Mus musculus: one gene and its partners. The protein of the gene in region 3 purifies or fractionates together with the protein of the main gene of each other region. This does not show direct contact. Links are inferred from orthologs where the notes say so. Each region holds a gene or a part of one and is shown on either strand. Other genes may lie near its edges.

Region 1 (5,905 bases), on a different chromosome or scaffold from region 3:
CGGATGATCAAACACTTGAGACCATGCATGACTGCAAGGGGAGTTTGAGGCCGGCCTGGGATGTGTGCAATCAGGACTCAAAACAATAAGGAAAGGACACAATAAGGAAAGATAAAAGTTTTTATCTATGATTATACACTGCATTTTTCTCTTACGATGGAAAAATAACCTCCCATACAACTAGAATAGAATTTAGAGAAACATCGTAGGAATGTGGTTGTGTTGTCAGAAGGGAAACATTTCCCCCCCTTCAGGTGAGAGACCTGGATTGCTAAGTTGCAGTGACTCTCCCATCTCAGCATCTCAAGTAGATGGGACTACAGGCACATTACTGTGCAAAGTGAAAAAAGATGATTCAAACAAAAAACGGTGTGTGTGTGTGAAAATATAGTTGAGTGGTAGGACTGGTTTGCTCAAAGCCTTTCTAGTATGCATTGCTCTTCCCATACATCTAACCAACGATCGCAGGTCATCTAATAAGTATAGGGCTCTCAAATGGTGTGAATTAGCTAAAGAAGAGTAATCTTAGTTTCTTGGTAATCAATCTCATGTCCCAAGACCATGTAGGGGGAAATATACATGTTAAGCAAGCTCTCTACCACTACTATTTCTCTTGTCTTCTTTTTGAGACAGGCTTTCAGTAAATTTCCCAGGCTGCCTTGAACGCACTCTGTTGCTCAGGCAAGTCTTGAAGTTGCAGTTCTCCTCGGCTGGGCTTGTGTTCTTGCCTTTCACCCACCTCCTGGCCTGGAGACTTGGGAGTTCTCACTTTTCGATGATCTAAACTAGTGTTTTCTGTCTCCTCTAGATAGATCCTTTGCAGGTGAGGTCATGTGCAGTTATTCTCCCAGCCTGTCTCATCCGAGTTTCCCTTACACCTGAAGGTTCACGTTACACAGCTCCTGTTGCTCTCTTGAAGTCTTGTGATGCCCTTCTACTTAACACCCTTGCGCAGACTTAAAAGGTCTGAGTTCTGCACGCAGTCTCTGCACCTTTCCTTTGATGACACCCCCCCCTTTTAAAAAACAAACTGTTCAAACTGGATTTAGCCTCCTCAATGTTGCACTTGAAAGAAAAGCGTATTTTTGCCTGTAACCTCTTGTGATGGCTTTCAGAGGCTTACCAATTGTGGTACCTACCGTGGCACCGCCCAAACAATAACTCTTATTGTTAATTTCTAGGGTAGGTCAGTCAGATTCGGAGAAACTCGGGACATCATCCGTATTCTGCTATGTTGCAGGAATTCTCTTAAACGTCACCCATTTACCTCTGTAAGGGCACACGGGATGACCCGGGCGTGTCTCCACCTTGGGAGAGGCCCGTTGGTCGGTCGGGCGCAGCGCTCTGGGGCTGCGTCCTTCGCGCCCCTGGCAGTCTCAGCCTTCCCTCGCGAGGCGCCGCACACCGAGCGCCTCTCGTGCAAGGGCGAGGGGTTCGTAGAGTGCGAGTCCGTTAGGCAAAGTGGGGTACAGGACTAGCTCGGGCACTGGCAGCCCATGTGGGTCGGGACTGACCCCCTAAAGCGGGCAGGTAAGGGGACTGGTCCCAGGCGCCCCACGGAGATCGGGGATTTGGGCGCAGGGGGCGGGGCGGTACCCAGAGGAGGTTTGGCACAACCCGGCCCTCCAGCTCCTACGCGTTCTGAGGAGAAAGGGCATGGCTTCCTTTTCTTCGTGGTGTCTTTCAAAACCGACAGGAGCGCGGATGAAAAGCTGCGGATTAAGGGTAGAACTACCGCCCCTGCAAACCTGAACGAACTCTGGATTACTACCCAGTCCCTGCGGGGAGCTGATTAGCGCCATTCCCCTCCCCCACTCCGGCGGGTAGGTCTAGAGAACGGTTTGAAGGTAGCCGCATGCGCATTAAGTAAAACAAGAAACCGCTGAGACGCCAAGCGCAATAATTGCAAAAAGGCGCAGGCGCAGAAAGAAAAAAAAAAAACAACCAAAAACACCTCGGTCAGTTTATGAAGAGGGCTGAGCCCAAACGCATGCGTGTAATAATAGGACGGCGGGAGAGAGCTCGGGGTTTCTTAATACGCATGCGTCCAATCTCTCTGTGACGCAAGTGGGGCGGGGCCGGCAACAGGGTGCGCGTGCGCAGAGCTTGCTGGAAGGGCTTTATTTAGCCTGCGCAGGCGCCCGCTTATCATTTCTCCTCAGCCACGCCGAGGCTTTTTGTGGAGGTGAGTGACTTTCCGTCTTCGACTGCTGCCCGAGCTCTCCACGGACACCTCTTTGGGTGACGATTGCTTGTCGCTGAGCTTAGGTTCTAACCTGAGGGGCCGTGGCAGGCGCAGGCTGCCCCTGGGAGCCGCGAGTGTCTCGCCGGCGTGGCAGCGCCGCCTAGGCCTGCAGGCCGCGCCGCTTTCTATTGTGTGAGATGTCTGAGGAGGCGGAGCGGAAGCGGCGGCCGCCATTTCCTCGTCTCAACCGTGGCTGTGGGCCAGGGTCTTATTAGCTTGGCGCCTCGGCCCTGGGCGCACTGGGCGGCTTTGGGCATCGGGTCGCTAGCCGAGGCCGGGTTGCATGCTTGAGTCTCCGGGGCCCAGGCATCCTGACGGGCGGGACTCGCATGGCGGCGCCCGGTGCCCGCTGTGCGCCGTGAAGTGGGAGGGCCATTTAAATGCCTGTTTTCTCAGACGCGTTCCTGACCCCCACCCCCACCCCGCAGCCCCGCAATCTGTGTGGACGCCAGGACCACCGAAGGGACGATGATGCTGGGAGCAGAAGGCGGAGAGGGCTTCGTGGTGAAGGTCCGGGGCTTGCCCTGGTCCTGCTCCGCGGATGAAGTGCAGCGCTTTTTTTCTGGTGAGTTGAGGCGGGAGTTGTCAGTGGGGCCCGCGGCTGGGCCGGGCCGGGCCGGGTTGGGGCGGGGCGGGTCTCCCGGGCGCCCCCTAGCGAGTCGCGGCCACCAGCGGTTTCCCCAGGCGGCTCGCGCTCTGTTGGCCGCTGTTACGCAATGGTAATTGCGAAATCCGCACCCCCCCCAACCCCCTTGGGGATGCTGGTGGCCCTGCTGAATTTGTTTTCTTTTAAAACTTTTTCTGTCTCTATGCATCAATCTGTGCATTCTGGAGTAGTCTAAGAAAAATTTAAGTAGGGAAAGATGTGATTTCTTCTCAAGTCGTGTAAGGTTTTGTAAAAAGGTACTTGTAGTGTTGACCTTACCATCTGAATTTAGCTGTGGTAACAGAAAACGATCTGTAAATCGAGCCCCAAGTATACTGCAAGCAATTGCAGGGGGCCGTTGCCGTCCGGGTTTGAGTTGAACTGCAGCTTGGAGCCTTTAGTTGTTAACATTGGTCCCTTTTCGGATGAATATTGAGCTGGAGTTTGGATTTGAATGAAATTGTTATGTGGTTGCTGATAGAGGGAAGCTGACATGGTACCCAAACAAGAAAATGCTGTGAAGTCACCAGATCCAGATGAGATTATTCTGAGATAGTGTACCAAGAGATGGTTAATGGAAACTTAGAGGCAAGGTGGTAGCTTCATTTGAACTTTTTTTTTTTTTTTTTTCGAGACAGGGTTTCTCTGTGTAGCTCTGGCTGTCCTGGAACTCTGTAGACCAGGCTGGCCTCGAAATCAGAAATCCGCCTGCCTCTGCCTCCCCAGTGCTGGGATTAAACGCGTGCGTCACCACTGCCCTGCTCCATTTGAACTATTTTTGAGCATTGAGTTACCTTGTTGGACTAGGAATATATCCTGTATATGAGATAATTTGATCGTGTTCTGCTTGGTCAGTCTTTTTAGGCATGTTTTTTTTTTTTTGGTGTGTGTGATGACAGGAATATGCATTTTATCTGTAGTGGTTTTAAATCCTGTATTAAGCGTTGTTTTCTTTTCAGACTGCAAAATTCAAAATGGGGCTCAAGGTATTCGTTTCATCTACACCAGAGAAGGCAGACCAAGTGGCGAGGCTTTTGTTGAACTTGAATCAGAAGATGAAGTCAAATTGGCCTTGAAAAAAGACAGAGAAACTATGGGACACAGATATGTTGAAGGTTTGATTTACATTGCCCTAGTAACAGTAAACGTTTAAACACATAGAGGTCTTACCCCTTCTGAATTTTAGGTATTTGACCGCATGGAAATGGTCATCTAAGGGAGTTTATGGCAGCTCTTCCTAGTTATCTAAAAGCCCAGGAAATCTGAACTTTGTTCTCCAACTTAATTGACTAATTCTAAGCACCTCTTTCAGTATTCAAGTCAAACAACGTTGAAATGGATTGGGTGTTGAAGCATACTGGTCCAAATAGTCCTGACACAGCCAATGATGGCTTTGTACGGCTTAGAGGACTCCCTTTTGGATGTAGCAAGGAAGAAATTGTTCAGTTCTTCTCAGGTATGTAGTCCTGTTTGTTGCTGAGCAGTGAGGTATGGCAGCTTCTGGCGACATGAATTAGTATTAGTAGACCTTTAAAAAGTTGAATAGTCTAGGTACTTAAAGTAGGCTGTTGAATATATGTTGTTGAATTCACATTTTCTTCCTGGAGACCTTCAAATAACTTAAGCCCATCTTAAAGGTGGAAATTAGAAGTATTTCCAAAGTGTTAACTTTGCCTATATTTAGTATTGTAGTTCAGAGTAGACCTTTGAGGATTCTACTCAGCCATCTTAACTTCCTCATATTGCTGTTTAGCAAAGTACTTCAAGTTAAAGGTAAGCTCTTTTAACATTAGATTAGTGTGAGTCTAGATTGTTACAGTTTATGGTGTTATAACTTATTTTCCGTCATGGGACCAGAAATATTTTAGCTAGTGTAATTCTCTGTATGAAAATTGTTATGAAAGGAACTTGGCTTAGGTAGCCTATTAGAAGTCAAAAAAGTAAATTGTAGCAAGTGTAGGTTGAATGCTTGTAGTCTCAATATGAAAGCAGTATAGAAGTTTTTGAAGTTGTTCTGGGCCTAAAGTATTTGAATGTTTTTATGTTGAAGAGCTGATAGGATTTGCATGCTTAGCAGAATGTTAAATCTTGTATATTTTAAGTACTATTAATACTCTTGATGACATAGACAGAATTAATCAAATATCTTAATAGTTTTTAGCATAGTATGTATTAGAACTTTGACTAGAACTTTATATATGTATCAATTTGTAATATTTTATAGTTTGAAATCAAGTCTGTTTTGTTTTATCTAAATTGGTGAGAATTGAATGCTATCTGTCAACGTTAAATATGAACATAATTTCATATCTTCTAGGAAAGTGCTTTAAGGCCTTTTTGTAAGCTTGGGAATGTATCCACGGGAAGGATTTTTCATAGACGGAATTTCCAGAAGTGAATCATACTACTGTTAGAACATAAGAGTGCATGATTGCTTTGTAGATAGTTATTGTTGAAAGTTTAGTTTGTATGTTTGTCAATTATGATTTTTAAAATGTTTTCAATTTTTACATAAACTGTTTAAATGTGTAATTTTAAAATTGAAGTTCCAATAACTTAAAAAGAATTGAAATATATGAGGTTAAAAGGTTTCTTATTTTACTTAAATTGTTATTTTAATGCTTAAAAAATTTAAAGTTCTTGTATAATTCTATTAAGATGCATAGATTAAAATGTTTTTAATTGTTGAATTCTTAATGCACCCTCTGGAGTATAACACTTTTTTTTCTTTACTGTATATACTATGCCTTGGGTGTGTTAAGAATTGAGTTATACTCTTTATAGTGGAACTTCTTATTATTGCAATGCATATTTTAAGAGTACTTGTTGAAAGCATACCATTCACCTAAAGTTAAAATTCTGGTTTATTTAAAGCTATAAGAAGAATCATTTCTGGGCTTGTGATGTTAATATTGCCCCCCTACTGGGGTTATTTGTCCTTGGGTTGAAGGGTTGGAAATCGTGCCAAATGGGATAACATTGCCGGTGGACTTCCAGGGGAGGAGTACGGGGGA
Region 2 (5,706 bases), on a different chromosome or scaffold from region 3:
AACTGAATAACATTTACTATTTCATAATATCCTAAAATGTAATCATTAATCATAAATATGACTATGTCAATGTCACTAAAAATTTAGTGTTTTTCAGCATAAGAGATAAAGGATACAAATTTAAAATCAAAAAAGTAAATAAAACCTTATTTTTTAGTTTTCATAATTCACATAAATTGATTAGAAATGCCAGTAAGCCCATTACCAATCACAACCTAGTACTAATTAATTAAACTTACCCTCTTCTTGTACTTGTTAAGAAATCCAGTGCTTCCTACAATGTTTAACCTAGGGCAGTTCAAAGTAAGACTAGAAAACTTTACTATATCTGAAAGGAGAGGAGACAGGCAAGAGGATGTTTTTTCCAAAAGATCTGTTAAATCAAAAATGGTCCAAGAAGGCACTGTTTGGAATTCCTCTCCATAGCCTCTCCTGAGTTCCCCAGTTTTCTGTTGATTGGTTTCAGAAACACATAAAGTACAGTATAGAAGAGTTCATATAAAGGAAAGAAACTGAAGAATGGCCAGAGAGATCATAAAAGAAAATACACTCACAAAGAATAGACAATGGTACCATTGTGCCAAACTCTTTTAGTGAGGTAGCGTATAAACTGAAGTTTCTAAGCCAGACCATTTGGATTAACTCTTATGGGATGAGGCAATGGTATGGCTGTCTTTTGAGGGTTACACCATAGACCTTTGACTGGCCCGGAGGTCACTATGTAGACCAAGATGATGTCAATCTCAGAAAGATGACAAGTTTTTGCTTCCTGAGTTTCATGATTGAAAGCATGTGCACTTTCACACATGGCTATGCCTTCTGTTCGTTATCACAAGACCAAGTGTTTCCTATTCAGGGCCAGAGATATGTGATCTGCATCATTACTTAGGAACGCCTACTCTCTGTGAGGGGGGGGGGGTTGTTTGTTTGTTTGTTTGTTTATTTCCACTCTCTGTGAGGGTGCTTTCTCAATTTTCTCTCTAATTGGAGAGGAAGAAGGGGGAAGGGAGGAATGGAGGTGTGGGGGGGAGGATGATGGAGGAGGGGAGAGGCGAGGGGAGTCGAAAGGAGAAAACAAAAATCAAGTATAGAAATAGCCACGCTTTAACAACCTTGATAGCATCTAACAACCCCGCTATGCCCACCTTCTTCCCTTTCATATTTTCAACCTTAAGGAGAAAGGATTGTGATAGTTTTATATTCGCCTTCTAAGTGAATCACAGCGCCCAAGCTCATTATGAGGCAGAGGTCCATCCTCAAAAAACTTTCGACCTTGTTCATTTTTTACTAGCTACCTAGAAGCTCCCCGGCAGGATGAAGACTCGCTCTGGCCGCTCTATTTCTTCCGGGTAAGGGGGGTGGGTAATAAAGCCTTGAACGCCAAGAGCCCCAGAACCGCATCCTAGAAACCAAGCAAGGCAAATCTCCCTACTTAGGAGTCCCTCCTTTACAGAGACCGGTATAGCAGAACCAGACAAGCATGTCCTTCATTACGTCACGCATAGCTCCCAAGACTCCAGCTTAAGTCTTCTCCGCCTCTCCCCAAGGGGCCATCTTAGCCACCTCCCACCCTCGACTCTCATTGGCAGCTAGACCTGCTTGTTCCCGTGGTTGCTAGCAGCGACGTAGGCGGGCACAATCTTGGTCACTAAGATACTTCACTTCCGGTTCCTCTCGTCCTTCGGGAAAAACATCTCATTCGTCCGGCCAATGGTGAATGAGAAGTAGGCGGGACTTGGTTGGTTCAGACCAAACAGACGCGAGCTTGTGCGGCAATGGCGGCGGGACGGCCCCTGTAGGGCGGCTCGGGCGCCCCCACGTCCGCTTTGCGTCCTTTCCCCGGCACCGCCCCGCCCGATCCCGGATTCCGCCTGGAGCTCGCTGCTGCCTGATAGAAACGCCAGGGAGCCAAGATGGCAGCTGCCGACGGTGACGATTCGCTCTATCCTATTGCGGTGCTCATAGATGAACTCCGCAATGAGGACGTTCAGGTACGGGGATCCTTCCGTTAGAGTGTGTGGGGGAGATCGGGGACGGGGATCTTCGCGGAATGTGGGAGCGATGGCTCCGGGTTCTCCGGGAGTGGCGGAAAGCAGCGGCAGCCAATCAGAATTCAGGTCTCATCTTTCTTAATAGCAAGGTTCGATGAGATGGCAGCCTTCATTGGGTGCCCGGCCAAGCGGAGGGCAAGCCTCGAGGGTCCTACCTGAGTGCGCGCGGCCGCCCCAGATCTGGGCCTGGGCGGCCCGAGATAGGGTGGCGGTCTTGTTGCCGCCTGCCAGTCGGTGATTGGCGGCGGACTCAGAATGGCTCTTTGTAGAGAATCGGCGGGGGCGCGTGACCTGCTGAGTAGAAACCCTCAGGGGTCCTGGCGACCCGGGTAGAGTTCCCATTGCTTTTAATGTTTTCGTTTTAACTGGAAGGAGTGGGGACTGATATTGGGATTGGGGACTGATACCGAGATTTCTGTCCATTCTTCACCGACCTCCACCTTGTATTTTGGGTTAGCTCTCCTGAAGGAGGAGGAAGGAGGCGGTGAAAGTATCCTCTCCTGAGATTTAACTAGCCGTAGCTGGGGTGGGTAACGTGCACAGACCCACCTGTTCTCCGACCTGGTCCCAAGCCGGCCTGCCAAGAGAGTTGATAGTTCTGGTTCATGGGAGAAGAATGAGCCAGGACCCCAGAGTTGTCGGACTGCTTTGGATTTGAAAAAGAGGTCAGACCTCAAGGCCGCATCCTCTCACCTGAGGATGACCTTGTGTGCACATTATTTCATCGCCCCTGGCTTCTGTTTTCTACAAATAGCGGCTAATAATAGTCCTGGTTTCCCTCGGTGGCCGAGGAAAAGTAGTAAAATGAAACTGGCTGTATGTAAAGGCTCTATAAATGTTAGCAATTATTTTGGGGGTGTGGCTATTGTGGCACTGTGCTACAGCCCTCTGCTTTTCCTTTTATATAGAATTGTTCATGCTGCACTCAGTCACCTTCCTGAACCTGGGCCTATCCTCTAAGTCTTACGTATTTATGTGTGACTCTGGTTCCATTGTTGGCAAGACTGGATTTGTACTCCTGGATCTTGCAATTTTTGCAAATTGACTCAGGCAGTCTGTGTTTCTCTTCTGTTAAATGGGAATAATAATCTGGTTTTGGGTATACTGAATGAATTTATTTGCATATGTTCTGTAAACACATGCAAAGCATGAGGAATGTTATTGGGTCATAAAGGAGACCAGAGCTTGGTATAGTGGTGCATGCATGCTAGCAATCCCAGCACTCAGGAGGCAAAGGCAGTGTCAAGGCTAGCCTGGTGACACTGTATCAAGAAAGAAGCAGTCTGGTTGCTGTACAAAGGCTAGATGTGAAACAGGTAAACAGAACTAAATCTGCATATTACCACATGTAAGAAAGAATGAGACTTGTCAATGTTGAAAGAGTGAATCAGCAAGTGTTTGCTGGGCCTTTCTTCAGAGTGGTATTTTGGATAGTTGAAGAACAAAAGAACAAAACTTGCCTTAAAGGAATTAACCTTTTAGTGAGTGGTCACAGATAAATAGGCATTATGTTGACTATGGAAAATTTTAAGGAGAAAATAAGAAATGTAGAGTAAGCATGGGAAAGTCTTGTTGAAATTTGAAACAGTACCTGCTTGTTGAAGGAGCCATTAGATTCTGGGCAGAGTGTGTAACCTCTAGACAGTTGGGTGAGGAATTAGGCTAGTTGAGGGAGGCTCCTTCTAGGATGTAAAGTTTAAAAAGTTGGAGATGAATCCAGATAGAGAGAGAGAGAGAGTGTGTGTGTGTGTGTGTGTGTGTGTGTGTGTGTATGCGCGCAATGGCTATAGTTCTAGTTTTTTGGCTCCAAGGGTGTTTAGTAATGTCTAGGGATGGTTTGGTTGCCACAACTGGGAGATTGTTGCTGCTTTTAGTAGGTTGAAGTCATGAATGCTGTTAAGCATGATTGCAGTATATAGGACATCTTTCTTAGGTAGGAAACAAAGATTTTAGTGCTAAGGTTGAGGGAAGCTGTTGGATGAAATGTTCACCTAGAGACAATAAGGAACTTGTCTAGCTTAGGTCAGTGTGCCAATTTTGTCAGGATCCTGTAACAAGTCACCATAAGTTTAGTATACAACAACATAAAGTTTTATTATGTTTCTGGAGATCAGAAGTCTGTCAGAGGTCTTGCTGGATGAAAATGACCTCATGACAGCATAGCCTTGAATTAGGCAACAGGGCTACACAGCTTTCTGCCACTTTACTCCAACATTCACAGTGCCATCTTCCTGAACAAAACAATGCACACTGTTGACAGAAAGAGTAGAGTGAAAGAACTGTCCACAAATGGACAGGAAGCGTGGTGTTCAGGACCCCTACTCCTAGACACAGTGACGGTGCAGATAGTCAGACTGCTTAGGTTCTGCTTGGGAACTCACTGCTTTCTATCAAGTGCTTCTTGTTTTGCATCAGCATCCTCGCCTGTTAATATGGTTTTTCTAGAAAACCTCAGAGCAGAGTATGAATAAACTACCTGAGTATACAGGGAACACTTTATAGATGATCCATGATGCTATTATTGCTGGCATGAAGATTATGAATGGAATGGTGGTTGCTCCCTGATACCATCCATTGTCCTTAGGGCTGCTGCTCACTGCTCACCAGTTGTCACCCTGGCCCATGCATTTCCCATAGTTCAGATGGAAGAGGAGCACAGGCATGTAAGAAATTGAGGGAAGAATGTTGAAAACTAGTATACAGGTCAGCAAAAGACAGCCTTAGTACCATATCCATCCACAGCCAGCTTTTGCAAGTAAAGTTTTGCTTGAGTGAAAGCCATGCCAGTAGCTTTATTAAGTAAAGCTTTGCTGGAATAAAAGACATGTTTGTTTGTTTACCTAGTGGTTCCTTCCCATTGCAGCTGTTGTGCTGTGAGCCCAAGTTGAGTGATTTAGAGACTGGCCTGTGAAGCTGAGAACATTTACCAGCAATTTAAAGAACATGTTCTTTTCTGGATACTCAGCAGTGCACTGAGCACCTGCAGGCTAACTGCCAGCATCTAGGGAGTGTTTGCTATATTTGTGGGGTTTTTGTTTGTTTTGTTTTGTTTTTGTTTTTGTTTTATCTTTCTGTAGCTCTCTGCACATTTTATAGTTTGAGTGAAAATAAATTTTGGGGGGCTTAGGGGTGGGGAGAGCGTTTATAGCACTTTAACTTGAGATCTTTTTACTACCAAAGTGAGATTTGGTTCCTCTTTGGTCCTTCCACTGTTCCAAAAACATGGTGACATGGAATGAAAACTGCTATATACATTTTTGTTTTGTGTTAAGGTATTGTTTTGTAACCTCAGCTGACCTGGAACACATAATGCCCCTACCATAGCCTCCCAAGTGCTGGGGATACAGGCTTTTGTAGCTGTGCTCAGGTAGGTTTCATAATAGCATTTTATCAGATTCTCAGCATTGTCTGTGAGCCCAGAGACCCCCCAAAATCCCCTGATGTAAGAGCCATACTTTTCTAAGATCAAGGTCTTTTGTAGACATCTTCTAATTGTCTGGGGTCCGAAAAGGGAGCTGATAGAGTCCATTCCTCTTCCTACCTCTCCCTCAGTCTTCTGTGTTCTCTTTTTTCCTTCCACTAAGGGTTTCCCTGTGGGAATTGAGTTTGTTAATCTCTCAGGCATTGTCTTCTTCACAAAATGATCTCATTACAT
Region 3 (5,246 bases):
GGAAGAGAGAAGTCCTCCTGGACATTTAGGGTTTGATATGAAGCACCCTCCACCTCCCGAGATCCTTGAAGAGGTCCTTGCTTGTCCAGACTGCTTTATTTGATGGTGAATTTGAATACCTTATTCAGGGTGAACTAGAGATTAAATACCTTTTGAGGGAAACAGTCCCCCAGAAGGGAAGCTCATAGGCTGAATTGAATGCCCAGGGCCTATCTAGATATCTCATTAGCATAGTGAACTTTATGCTGTGTGACTAACTGCCATGGTCCTCGGTGGGCTTCCAGAGCAGATAGTTAGGCACGTAGTTGGCTCCAGTCCTCCTGTTCTCAATTCTAAGTTTCATGGTGTTTGGGCTCACTCAACCTTACCAGTTTTTCTGTCTGGCAGTGTTCACTTGCCCCACTCCTCAGGGTAGGGTGGTGCTTTTCTGACCCACTCCCTCACCCCTACTCCATTCAGGATGGGGTACTGATGAACCCAGTCCTGTGTAGGTCAGCTTGAACTTTTGTAGGGATCCCTTTCCAGTAAAACTAAGGACTGTGAGAGAGCAGGGTTTCGGGGCTTTTGCTTTGTTTTGTTTTTCTTTGACTGGGTATTGTTGTATAAGCTGTCTGGAACTCACTTTGTGGCTTAAGCTGGCCTCACACTCAGTCTTTCTGCCTCCTTCCAAGTACAGAATTTACAGGCATGTTCCTGGCTTAAGACAAGATCCCTGTAGAAGAGAATCGTCTCACACAGCATAGTTTCTTCTACACCAAATAGTGGGAGGATTTGGAGAAATTGTATTTTTGCTGACAATACTATTTCTGTGGGGTTCTGTTTGTTTTGTACTCTTCTATATTCAGGATGAGGAGGAATCCTTGAATGAAGTAGGCTATGATGACATCGGTGGTTGCAGGAAGCAGCTAGCTCAGATAAAGGAGATGGTGGAGCTGCCACTGAGACATCCTGCGCTCTTTAAGGCGATTGGTGTAAAGGTGAGTATCCTAAGGTCTGTGGGGAGTCTAACATGCAGCTGACAGTGTATAATCAGTGGTGTGACTACCGTAAATAGCATAAAGAGGCAATAATAATCTGGGTTTATAGAAGGCTCTAAATTCATTAGAGCTATAGATTGTCATATGTGTGTATGTACACATATACACAAACATAATATGCTTAAACAACAGTTCTTATCTCATGAATCCTATTAAAATCTTAACCTTAATTTTGCCAATTTTTGTAGAACATTGCTCAATAAAAGAAGATTAATGGAATATTAGGATACTGAGTTAGATATTTGAGACCCACCTATCTAGAATATAGTTTTTGATCTTTTCTATGTGATAGAACACTAAAGATGAAGTGACTACTTTGCCTAGTAAGCATACAAGTGGTTTTGTCTTCATTGAGAACAGTTTCAGTGTCTTGTGCATAAGGCTGCAGACAACTTCCAAAAGGAAGTTGCAGTTGATTATTTTAGAAAAAAAGACACTCCTTCATTCATAGCACTCACGAGGCAGAGGCAGGTGCATCAATGAATTTGAGGCTTGCCAGTCATTTCTACAGAGAGAGTTCCAGGACAGCCAGGGTTACACAGAGAAGTCCTGTTTGTGTGTTATTTTATTAGAGAAATAACTGTTTTGAGAAAAAGAGAAAAAAAGACATTCTAAGGCTCAGCAGTTAGGAGCACTGACTGCTCTTCCAGAGGTCCTGTGTTAAATTCCCAGCAACCATATGGTGTCTCACACCCATCTGTAATGGGATCTGATGTCCCCTTCTAGTATGTCTGAAGACAGCTACAGTGAACTCACATACATACATACATACATACATACATACATACATACATACATACATACATACATACAAACAAATAATAAATCTTTTAAAGAGAAAAAGTAAAAAAGACATTAGCACATCATCAAACAACGGTTCTCAACCTGTAAGATAGCTCCACTGGAAATTACACATTTCTGGTAGTCTTAGGAACTAAGACACCACTCAGTAGCAAAATTAGAGTTATGAAGTAGCAACGGAAATGGTTGGGGGATCCTAAGACATCAGAAATAGGTGTTTTCCAGTGATCGTGACCCACAGATTTCGAACCGCTGACCTAGAAGGTTGAATACATGAGTGAAGAACTCTAACCCTGAAAATCTGATCTTGCTTTATTTAGTAAATAACTCGTATCCTGGTTTGTCAGGAATTGCGCCCTTGGTGTAATAACTTGTTACTTACTCTCCTTCCTTCCAGTTTTTATAGTCCCTAGGTGTGACTTTTTAAAGGTTGTTCACGATTAGTCTCCTATGCAAATTGCATTTATAAATGTTACCAGCTTTCTGGCATCACTTTTCTTTAAGTAACAGTGTATATGATTCATTAGTGTTTATTTCTGAGGAGTATGTGTCTGTTTGTTTGTGTTTGTTTTGGGCAGCAGAATCCTAACTTACTGTATAGAACAGGTTAGCCTCAAACTCAGAGACCTGCCTGCTTCTGACTTGAGAGCTGGGTTGAAGATTCAGACCACATCTGGCTCTTTTGTTTTTCTTTGGTCTCCCATTGTAAATCATTCTGGCCTCAAGTATGTAGTCCTTCTTTCCCTCCTCAGCTGGGATTATAAACGTATCTCAAAGGCTTGTTTGTTTGTTTGTTTTTAAATTACTATTTTATGTGTGTGGCTGTTAGTTCTTTTACGTATATGTGTGCACCATAAGCTTTCAGTGTCTGCAGAGACCAGAAGAAGACATCAGATAGCTCTAGAACTGGAGTTACAGGTGGTTGTCAGCCACAACCAATGGAAGAATAGCCAGTGCTCATAAATGCTGAGCCATCCCTCTGGACACCAAAGGCCTTTTCTTAATGGTATCAGTGTAGAGCCCTGATGCTCACCCCTCACTAGAGCTCTAGTCAAGCTAGTTAGATGGGTGAGTTGGGGAAGGTAAACTTCTGACCCTAACTGAACTTTGTTGTCCTCAGCCTCCTCGGGGAATCTTGTTGTATGGGCCTCCTGGGACAGGGAAGACCCTGATTGCTCGAGCTGTGGCAAATGAAACTGGAGCCTTCTTCTTTCTGATCAATGGTAAGAAACTTGGTCCGTCTAGACCCATTTCTGAGTTAGGCAACTCATGGAAACATTCACCTGCACCTATACCCTTCAGCATATTACAAAATTTATAATTTAAGGTTACTGTTTTTTCTACATGTCTGTGTATTATGTATGTGCAGTGCCTGAGGAAGCCAGAAGAGGGCATAGATCCCCCTAGAACTAGAGTTAATAAGTTATCATGAACCACTGTAGGTGCTGGGGATTATACTCTGAACCAAAACAATCAGTGCTGCTAGCCACTGAGTCTTCTCTCCAGCCTAACTTTAGCCATTTTTTTTTTTGTGTACATGTGTGCTAATATATAGTGGTATGCATGCACATGTGTGGTGTTCAGAGGATAATTTCATGTTCTTCAGGTACATACCATTTTAGAGACAGGGTCTCATTTACCAGGAACTGTATATAGATTGACTAACCAGACAGCTGCAGGAGTCTGCCTCTCTCCAGTGCTGGATTTACAAGTGTGTGCTACCATGCCTGTTTTTTAGGGATCTAACTTGGGTATTCATGTGTTTAAGGCAGACTCTTTAGGTCCTGAGCTGTCTCTATAGCCTCACTTAAACATTTTCTGATGAATGAGTATATTATGAGAAGATAAGCAATAAGGGGAAGGCTTTTTAGGGGTGGGGTGAAAAGGGATAAGAGTTGAAATATGGTCTCACTGTATGGTATTGCAATAATTTTAAAAGTGGCAGTATTTCTCTATCCCTGGCTGGCTCACAAATAAGCAAAACTGAATCTAAGATTTATTTAATTTAGCTTTACCGCACAGTACCTGGGAAGTCATTGATTTATTCTAATCTTCTAAGCTCATCTGGATACTTTGCAGCCAAAATATCTTCGTATTTGGTTGCAAAGTATCCAGATGATTGAGAGATTTGGTGCTCTGAGCTTCAGAGATGTCTCCAGGACCGTTTTCTCACTGTGAATTTTCCTTTCTTCCCCCATCTTCATACTAGTGGAAGTCCCGCCACCCTATTTTCTTTTCTGCCCAGCCATTGGCTGGTTAGCTTTTATTGACAAGTCAGAATAAATGGGGAACAACTATAATAAGCATTACAATGCCATGTCCGGATTGCAAATAGATACGGAAGCAGAGAAATCCGCATTTGAATAATGCAAGGGTAATCCTTTTTGTTTAAAAGATTTATTTATTTATCTTATGTATATGAGTATACTGTAGCTGTCTTCAGACATAACAGAAGAGGGCATCAGATCCCTTTATAGATGGTTGTGAGCCACCATGTGGTTGCTGGGAATTAAACTCAGGACCTTTGGAAGAATAGTCAGTGCTCTTAACTGCTAAGCCATCTCTCCAGCCCCACAAAGATAATCTATGCAGTACACAAAAATATTTTGCCTACAGTGTGGCCCTGGCAAATTCTCTTGTAGCCCACGTATGTCTTTTCTTCCCTTGCGAAGGATTGTGAATAAGCTGAAGACAGAGAAACAAGCTGTAATGATAAACCAAAAGTTTGTTTGCTTGTTTGTTTGTTTTGAGATAGGGTTTCCTTGTATAGTCCTGGCTATCCCAGAACTCACTCTGTAGACCAGGCTGCTCTTGAAACTCACAGATATCACTTGCTTCTGCCTCCCAAGTGCTGGGATTAAAGGCATATGCCACCATGCCCATCTAAAAGGTTTATTTTTATCTGAGACTAGTTGGGGAATATGGGCTGAGCTATCATTGTCTTTAGAATGATACTCAGGTATTAGGGTTCCATTGGGCCTTTTACCAAATCATTTTTGTCATATCCGCAGTTGGAACTGTGCTGTCAAAAGCATGTGGAGTCTCTTGTCTTCTCTTTGGTCTGGCCTGGTAGTTCTTACATGATAATGGGGGTTTGGGGTGGGGGGAGGCTATTAAAGACAGAAATTACTGCATTCTTATTCAGGACCTGTATTTGGGCTAGGGGAAAAAATATAAGTTTCTTTAGGGATTGGGGGAGGACAGATTTTTGTCATTGTTTTAAAAAAATAACTTCTATTTATTGTGTGCTTGAGTTGGAGAGATGACTCAGCGTTTAAGAGCACTGACTGCTCTTCCAGAGATCCTGAGTTCAAGTCCCAGCAACCACATGGTGGCTCATAACCATCAGTAATATGATCCGACGCCCTCTTCCCGTGTGTCTGAAGACAGCTACAGAGTACTCATAAA

Evidence for each region.
Region 1: the proteins of Vcp (region 3) and Hnrnph1 purify together in Homo sapiens (affinity purification with mass spectrometry, with the first as the bait; 3 studies listed by BioGRID). This does not show direct contact. The link is inferred for Mus musculus from reciprocal best matches to the Homo sapiens genes VCP and HNRNPH1.
Region 2: the proteins of Vcp (region 3) and Ppp2r1a purify together in Homo sapiens (affinity purification with western blotting; 4 studies listed by BioGRID, with this or other methods). This does not show direct contact. The link is inferred for Mus musculus from reciprocal best matches to the Homo sapiens genes VCP and PPP2R1A.

Annotation. Positions count from the first base shown.
Region 1 is NC_000077.6:50,375,618-50,381,522, forward strand, and holds the start of Hnrnph1 (heterogeneous nuclear ribonucleoprotein H), read left to right. Parts: upstream 1-2,060; 5' UTR 2,061-2,185; exon of another isoform or gene 2,186-2,241; intron 2,242-2,618; exon of another isoform or gene 2,619-2,673; 5' UTR 2,674-2,713; coding exon 2,714-2,810; intron 2,811-3,850; coding exon 3,851-4,006; intron 4,007-4,203; coding exon 4,204-4,347; intron 4,348-5,841; coding exon 5,842-5,905. UniProt on the Homo sapiens protein: This protein is a component of the heterogeneous nuclear ribonucleoprotein (hnRNP) complexes which provide the substrate for the processing events that pre-mRNAs undergo before becoming functional, translatable mRNAs in the cytoplasm.
Region 2 is NC_000083.6:20,943,593-20,949,298, forward strand, and holds the start of Ppp2r1a (serine/threonine-protein phosphatase 2A 65 kDa regulatory subunit A alpha isoform), read left to right. Parts: upstream 1-1,861; 5' UTR 1,862-1,913; coding exon 1,914-1,991; intron 1,992-5,706. UniProt on the Homo sapiens protein: The PR65 subunit of protein phosphatase 2A serves as a scaffolding molecule to coordinate the assembly of the catalytic subunit and a variable regulatory B subunit.
Region 3 is NC_000070.6:42,986,477-42,991,722, reverse strand, and holds part of Vcp (transitional endoplasmic reticulum ATPase), read left to right. Parts: intron 1-845; coding exon 846-977; intron 978-2,958; coding exon 2,959-3,061; intron 3,062-5,246. UniProt on the Homo sapiens protein: Necessary for the fragmentation of Golgi stacks during mitosis and for their reassembly after mitosis. Involved in the formation of the transitional endoplasmic reticulum (tER).